Ovis aries: one gene and its partner. The protein of the gene in region 1 interacts with the protein of each later gene in a biochemical or structural test. Links are inferred from orthologs where the notes say so. Each region holds a gene or a part of one and is shown on either strand. Other genes may lie near its edges. The genes, in order: ITPR1 and CABP1.

Evidence for each region.
Region 2: the proteins of ITPR1 (region 1) and CABP1 form a complex in vitro, tested with the Homo sapiens proteins (2 studies listed by BioGRID). The link is inferred for Ovis aries from reciprocal best matches to the Homo sapiens genes ITPR1 and CABP1.

Annotation. Positions count from the first base shown.
Region 1 is NC_056072.1:21,688,672-21,692,490, reverse strand, and holds part of ITPR1 (inositol 1,4,5-trisphosphate receptor type 1), read left to right. Parts: coding exon 1-149; intron 150-2,785; coding exon 2,786-2,958; intron 2,959-3,819. UniProt on the Homo sapiens protein: Inositol 1,4,5-trisphosphate-gated calcium channel that, upon inositol 1,4,5-trisphosphate binding, mediates calcium release from the endoplasmic reticulum (ER).
Region 2 is NC_056070.1:63,044,861-63,048,679, reverse strand, and holds part of CABP1 (calcium-binding protein 1), read right to left. Parts: intron 3,658-3,819; coding exon 3,514-3,657; intron 1,384-3,513; coding exon 1,274-1,383; intron 1,046-1,273; coding exon 898-1,045; intron 1-897. UniProt on the Homo sapiens protein: Modulates calcium-dependent activity of inositol 1,4,5-triphosphate receptors (ITPRs). Inhibits agonist-induced intracellular calcium signaling.

The DNA of each region.
Region 1 (3,819 bases):
TGTTACAGGCCCCGTTCACAGACTGTGGTGATGGCCCAATGCTGCGTCTGGAGGAGCTGGGAGACCAGCGGCACGCGCCCTTCCGACACATCTGCCGCCTTTGCTACCGGGTCCTGAGACACTCCCAGCAGGACTACAGGAAGAACCAGGTGGGCTCTGAGGACCCTGGGGAGTGCCAGACAGCTTCCTCCCTCGAGTTCACTTTCCTCCATGAGTTTTAAGTGTCCCATGTATATATTTATTTAGTGGCTAGAGTCTAGTTCATTGTTCAATTTGCTCTTCAATAGGAAACAGGTATTTTTGCAAGCCTGGGAAGATGCATGAGTGAGTTGAGAAGGATACATCAAAATTCTCCTACAGCATCCTTGGAATGAGATTTTTTTTTTTAATGTTGATATTACAAGTATAGTATTTTTTAAAACTTTTTATTTTATATTGGATTATAGCTGATTAACAGTGTAGGGATAGTTTCAGGTGGGCAGCAAAGGGACTCAGCCATACATGACATATATACATTCTCCCCTAAACTCCCTTCCCATCCAGGCTGCCACATAACATTGAGCAGAATTCCCTGTGTTATACAGTAGGTCCTTGTTGGCTATCCATTTTAAATATAGCAGTGTGTACGTGTACAGTATTTCTTATGGCACATTTCTGGAAGGTGTAAGGGTGCAATGGTTCCATGTGCTTTTATTAGAAATGGAATGAAATCTTTTCTTCCTGCCCCATCCATTCCCTCCATCTCTGCTGGTAGCTTCCTCTTTGTTTTGGTTCTGGCTCGTATTTTAGACATTCTAAGTCATCATCTATTGTCATCACAAGTAAACACACAAACACAAACAATATAGTCTCTCTACGAGGTAAATATTTAAACCTCTGTGATGGTTCCAAACAACTGGAGATGCTGAGGAATCACTGTGTTAGTGGTTGTTAACTGGGAGCAATTTCACCACCCACCCCCACCCTGCCCTGGGGCAGGAGGACGTGTGGAAATGTCTGGAGATGCTATTGAGTGTCACAACTTGGGAATACTACTGGCATGAAGTGGATGGAGGCCACGGATGCTATTTAGCATCTGGGCAAGCCCAGCCCAGTCCCCCCACCCCCAACAAAGAATTATCCGGTCCAAGAAGTCAGTAGGTACTGCTGAGTTCAAGAAACCCTGTGTTCCATAAACTACTATAAGTGCACAGTGATGCTTCTTATAATATGGACTCCAGTCCCTGCAGTGTGTTACAAAAGATTTTGTTTTTAAGCTTTGACCGCCGCTATATCTGGCCTTTAAATGTAAACTGTTCTCTGTAGTGAATGTTTTTTGTGTATCATCACACAGCGTTGGTCCTAAGCAGTGCTCTGAAGTATTAGATACAACTTTATTAGCAAGTATTGGGCTGGCCAAAAAGTTTGAGTTCTCCACAAGATGTTATGAAACACCTGAACAAACTTTCGGCCAACCCAGTATTGCTAAATCATTCGCTTTGCCTTTGCTACTGTTTAGATACAAAGCATCACACACTGGTGATGCTGTGTTCATTCGTTAGCATAGGTTGCCGTCGGGCACTATGGTCGGTTTAAACCCCTCTTGTGTGTGAGTACCATACTTACACCATACTTGTGCTAAAGAGGTTTTATTCTCTTCCCATGAGGATGCGTCAGAGTCTGTAATGTGTGCCGGGACCTTTTGCTTGCACATCAGAGGACTAGACCCGTCCTTCTTGTTGCTGTTGCTATGGGTGTCTTGGCTTGGTTGTTTATGGACCCTGTGCCTTTTGGCAGTAGTACTGACATATCCCTGGGGGCTGATGAATTCTCAGACATGCATCCTTACTGAGTGAGGGCTGAAAAGTGGCCCAAGTCCACTCTGTTAGTCCTTAGTCACTTTTAAGATTTTGAAATTAATGAATTAAAATGAAACCAAGTTTCAAGGGCCTTTTGAGCTTTGAGCAAGCAGTCTGTCTTGGACAGGGAAAATATCTTTGAATAACAAAAGTATTTATAAGAGGCTTCCTGGCCTTCTGAAATATTTCAATGGGACATCATATCTGATCTCAAAAGAGAAGTCAGAGATGTTTCCATGTGTTCTGTGAATGTAATTGACTGGTTTACATATTCCTGGGCTTCCCTGGTGGTTCATCTGGTAAAAAATCTCCCTGCAATGTGGGAGACCTGGATTCAATCCCTGAATTGGGAGATTTCCCTGGAGAAGGAACAGCTACCCACTCTAGTATCCTGGCCTAGAAAATTCCATGGACTGTATAGTCCAAGGAGTCACAAAGAGTTCAACTCAACTGAGTGACTTTCATTTCACTTCTTCACATGTTTACAACTACCCACTGACTTTAATTTTCATCCCGGATAAGGAAAACACAATGGAGTAATAACATTGTTCAAAATATCCAGGTAGACTTCACCATGTTTATTCAGCAGCACAGGGCAGTGAGGCACAGTTTAATCCTCTTGAATGAGTAATAAAATCAGAGCTGGAAAACAACTCTTGACCTTTAGAAAAATAAGTCACCACATTAAAATGTATACTGTGGACTTAAGAAAATGCCCATCTATAAATACAGGATATGTTACTTAGTGATACCTGTGTGGCAGGTTTAGTAAACTAAAGGATGTGAGAGAGTCTGCGGCTGTCTCCCTGGGTTGGGAAGTTGGGGAAGGACACTCCCCTGTGATTTTCCTTACAGGGAGTAGCTCTCCTGGGGGCTGCTGCCCCTTCCCTTACTCTGCGCCTCACCACACTGTCCTCCTTGCTTACCTCTCTCTCCTCGCTTCGAAGGAGTACATAGCCAAGCAGTTCGGCTTCATGCAGAAGCAGATTGGCTATGACGTGCTGGCTGAAGACACTATCACCGCCCTTCTGCACAATAATCGCAAACTCCTGGAAAAACACATCACCGCGGCAGAGATTGACACCTTCGTCAGCCTGGTGCGGAAGAACAGGGAGCCCAGGTGAGGCGGAGGTGGGGTTGATCGGCAGGAGGTGCCTCTGTGTTTACGATGCAGTCTCTGAGCTGGTCATGGTGGGTTGTTCTGTTCTGTTCTAACTAGATGTCGTTTGTTTGGGCCTGCTAGGCCCCGGGTCTTGATTGAGCAGGTCTTGAGAGGCGCTTTGAGTCGTGAAAAGAGCGTGGTATGGAAAGGAGACCAGGGTAGAATCCTGGCTCCGCAGTTTACCAGGTGGTGACCTGGAGCTTTAATCTCATCTATCAGATAAGCTGTTATAAAAATTAAATGAAGATAAATACATGTGAAGTGCCTGGCACTTTGTAAGTGATAGCTGTCGACCCCTCATTCACTTTGTAGCACCCTGCTATGACCAGTCAGAACGTCCCCAAATATCAGTAAGTCTTTTGCACACATAGTTATTACCTGAGTGTTTGTATTTACAGTAGTGAATTCTGTCAATTCTATTGCATTCTTACAGATCCCACCCTCCCTGTATACTTTCTTCTCTCTTTTCTTGTTTTAATTAAGATCCACCCCATGTCAGGGGATGTGGGAACTAGTTTACAATGTGGATATTAGAAACAGTGATGATAGAGAGCTGAAGGTGTTATTATGAAACTGACTCCTCCCACCTATTAAAAACAACTAACATCTTATGGACCCTCTCGTGTGCCAGGGACTGAACTGAGTAAGCACTTTACATGAATTAGTTCATTTAATCCTCAGAAGAGCCCTCTGGGGTTAAAGGTTATCCATTTTTATCGATGAGAAAACTGAAACATGGTTAGGTTAAATAATTTCCCCCAAATAACAGTACATGTCAGAATGTAGCGGAGAAGAACCAGAACCAGGATTCTGATTTAG
Region 2 (3,819 bases), on another chromosome or scaffold:
GTAAGCCTGAGGTGCTCTGAAAGCCCAGAAAAGAGGAAGCTCAGTCTGGGGACCGAGGGAAGTGGCCCCACTGCTGGGTCTTAAAGATGGAATAGGCTTTAACGCCAGGGAAGAATAGAATACAGGCATCCTGACAAAAAGAATAGTGTAATCAAATGAGAGCTTTGCAGGCTTTTGGATCACCTGGGGTTTTAAGGCGGCGTGTGAGTGAAGGAATGGCGAAAGCCGTGGCCAGAGAGGCGAGTCGTGGATAGATGTTAAGGGGTTCGAGTGTCAAGTTGAGGAATGTGGTGCTCAGAAAATACCTCCATGGATGGATACAGGGGAAGGTGGACCAATAGACATGGAACACGGTGGGTGGGGGCAGAGGGACAGGAGTGGATAGATGGATGACTAGATGGATACAGATGGGGAAAGGACTGTGCACACAGCTGACAGATCCATGGAAGTACGGGTGGAGATACAGGCGGATGGGTAGAGAATAAATGTGTGAATGAAGGTTGAGAGCTGCAGATGCATGGATAGATGGGAGGGGGTATACGGGTAGATGGAGGCACGGGTGAATGTTCAGAATGAATAGATGCCTGGATGGGTAGGTAAGGCCATAGGTAAACGATTCTATGGAAAATGATCTGGAGATCCGTTAGCGGATAAATAGGCACCTGGACAGAAAAAGAGACAGATGGATGAACACATGGAAAGAGAGGTCTGGAAAGATGGATGGATGAGTGGGTGTAGGAACAGACGATGGATTAGGGGGGCGGAAGGATGGAAGGGTAAGGGGATGGCAAGTTGGGGCGGGTTGATGACCGCATGGTGGACCCACATGTGGAGGGATGCTCTCTGTGGATGCCCACTCCTGTCTTGGTTCTTCTTCCACTCTCAAGACCCGCCTACCTTCAAAGTCCACTCGTCCATCCCCATTGAGGTCCACATCCCGGATAATCTCTTCTATGTCTCGGTGTCCCACCTGATGACCCAGGAGTTTCCTCATGGCCTCTCGTAACTCACTGGTGCTTATCTCCCCATCACCGTTGGTGTCAAACTAGAGAGGGCACGGAGGAGGAAAGAGTAGCTGCAACAGGAAGACTGTCAGAAGCAGATCCCAAGGTTGAACCCCTTCTTCAGCATCATTGTCCCCCTACCCCTTCCCCAGAGCGCCTCTCTGTCCAAGCTTCTTCCCGTGGGGTGGGATCCAGAGGTCCAGTTTCCTTTCAGGTTGGGAATTCTAACAAGTCCCCCCGCTCCTGCCTGTCCGCTGTCCACCACTTACCTCTCGGAAAGCATCTCGCAGTTCCTTTACTCCAATCATATCTGCTGTTTCCGCCAGGAGTTTAGGTCCCATTAGCTCCACAAAGTCATCAAAATCCACGTGGCCACCCACTGGGGACAGAGGAACAGGCTGGGTCATCCATCTAACCACCACCCACCTCCAACTAGACAACCGGGGAAGCTGTCAGCCCTCCCCTGACCTTCCCAGCGGCAGGCCCAGGGTAAAAGCAGAGGCCAAATGAGGACAGAGAAGAGACCACAGACAGGGGGGTTATCACAAAAGAGCTCAGAGGAGCAGCCGGGGGCTAACTAAGGGAACAAGTCAGGAACTGGACAGGCGTACACAGGGGAGAAAGAAACATGAGGTCACAGAGATAGGCAAAGAATTTCAGAGCAGGAGAGAGACAGAGACAAACATGCAGAAAGGCAGAGATGGGAGCAGGAGTCGTGAGCGCCTGGCCCGCGTGCCCACTTGCCCCCCTCTCTCCCTCACTGTGCAAGTGGAACTCACCTTCCAACCAGCCTTCAGAGGGTGGAAATACAGGAGACCTGCCCCCGGGGCCTGCTCACAACACTTTCAGCCAGTGACTGAGCTTGGGGGATAAATACCCAGCCCGAGAGATAGCTCCATGGTGGGCCTTCGACACCAGCACCCTGAGCTCCATCACCCACAGTGGCAGCTCCTTGAGTGCCTTCTCCCTTGGCGCCCTGTCTTCACCCTCCTGCCTCCCTAATCTCTATAGACTCTGTCCTTCCCCTTCTAAGTAAACTCCACACTCAAACCCTTGTCTCCTGGTCTGCTCCTGGGAGGACCCAAAGGGAGACAGAGAAAAACATAATAATGATAGTGTCCTCTGGTCAACTCTTACTGACTGCTAGGTATCGATTATTGGGCTGTTCAGAATATTACAGCCCAACAGTGTCTAGGGACTTCTTTCCTGGTGGTCCAGTGGTTGGGAGTCCCGCCGGCCAATACAGGGGACACGATCCCTGGTCTGGGAAGGTCCCATCTGCCATGGGGCCACTGAGCCCGTGCACCACAGCTGCTGAAGCTCGCGCTCTAGAGCCCATGCTCTGCACAAGAGAAGCCACCGCGATGGGAAGCCCACACATCGTAACCAGAAAGTAGCCCCTGCTAAAGGCAACTGGAGAGAGTCCGCGCGTAGCAACAAAGACCCAACACAGCCAAAATAAATTAATTAATTAAAAAAAATAAAATATGTCCCCTAAAGAGAAACAGGCTCACGGATACAGAAAACAAACCAGCAGTCACCAGTGAGGAGAAGGGGGGTTGGGGGAAGGGCAACATAGAGGCTGGGGATTAAGAGACGTCAGCTACTCTGTGTAAAATCAAAAAGCCACGGGGATATATTGTGCAGCACAGGGAACAAAGCCAACATTTTACAATAACTTTAAATACAGTCTAATCTGTAAAAACTTTGAATCCCTATGTTGTACACCTGAAACGAATATCATACTATAAATCAACCATAAGGTGAAGGTGAAGTCGTTCAGTCGTGTCTGACTCTTTGCGACCCCACAGGCTGTAGCCTACCAGGCTCTTCCATCCATGGGATTTTCCAGGCAAGAGTACTGGAGTGGGTTGCCATTTCCTTCTCCAAACAAAGATACTTCAACTCAAAAAAAAAAAGAAAAAGAAATGCCCAGAATAGGCAAATCTGCTTAGACAAAATGTAGATTAGTGGTTGTCCAGGGCTGGGGAGGGACTTGGGGGTGATGGCAAAGTGGTATAGGACTTCTTTGGTGGAGGGGGCATGAAAATATTTTAAAGTTGATTGGGGTGATGGTTGCGCAACTCTGAATATACTAAAAGACACTGAATTTTATCCTTTAATTCCCCAACCAGGGATCAAACCCATGCCCCCTGCAGTGTGGATAAGAGTCCTAACCACTGGACCACCACAGAAGTCCCTGAAGGGAATGCTTTAAGTGAGTCACCTGTATGATATATGAATTATATCTCAATAAAGCTGTTTCCTCCAAAAATAAATGAATAAATAAGCCAAGAAAAATAATAAATAAATAAGCAAACATACCCCCAGTTAACTCCCCATTCCACCCCTCATTTTACAGGTGAAGAAACTGAGGTACAGGGAGGGTAAGCGGTTTGCCTGCAGGTCACAGAGCTAGGAAGAAGGGGGAGCTCAGAACTTGAACCCCGGCAGAGGACAGCGAGGGCGAGGCCGGGGAGGGAACGGGGTGCCTGGCAGCGGGACTCACGGTTCATGTTGATCTGCTGAGACAGCTCGATGAGCTCCATCTCGGTGGGCATGTAGCCCATGGTGCGCATACAGTTACCCAGGTCCCGGCAGTTGATGTAGCCATCCTTGTCCTTGTCAAATTCTCTGAAGGCCTCCCTGAGCTCTGGGGAAGAGAAGGAAGGTGGACGTGGTGCGGAAGGAGGACCAGCAGAGCCTCCAGGGTAGAGGCGGCCCCGAGGGGCCCATCGACTCATGCATTCCTCCAACGCCGGCTCCCCAGAGGATGCCCAGCCCTGCACCACACCCTGTTCGCAGGAAGCAGAGA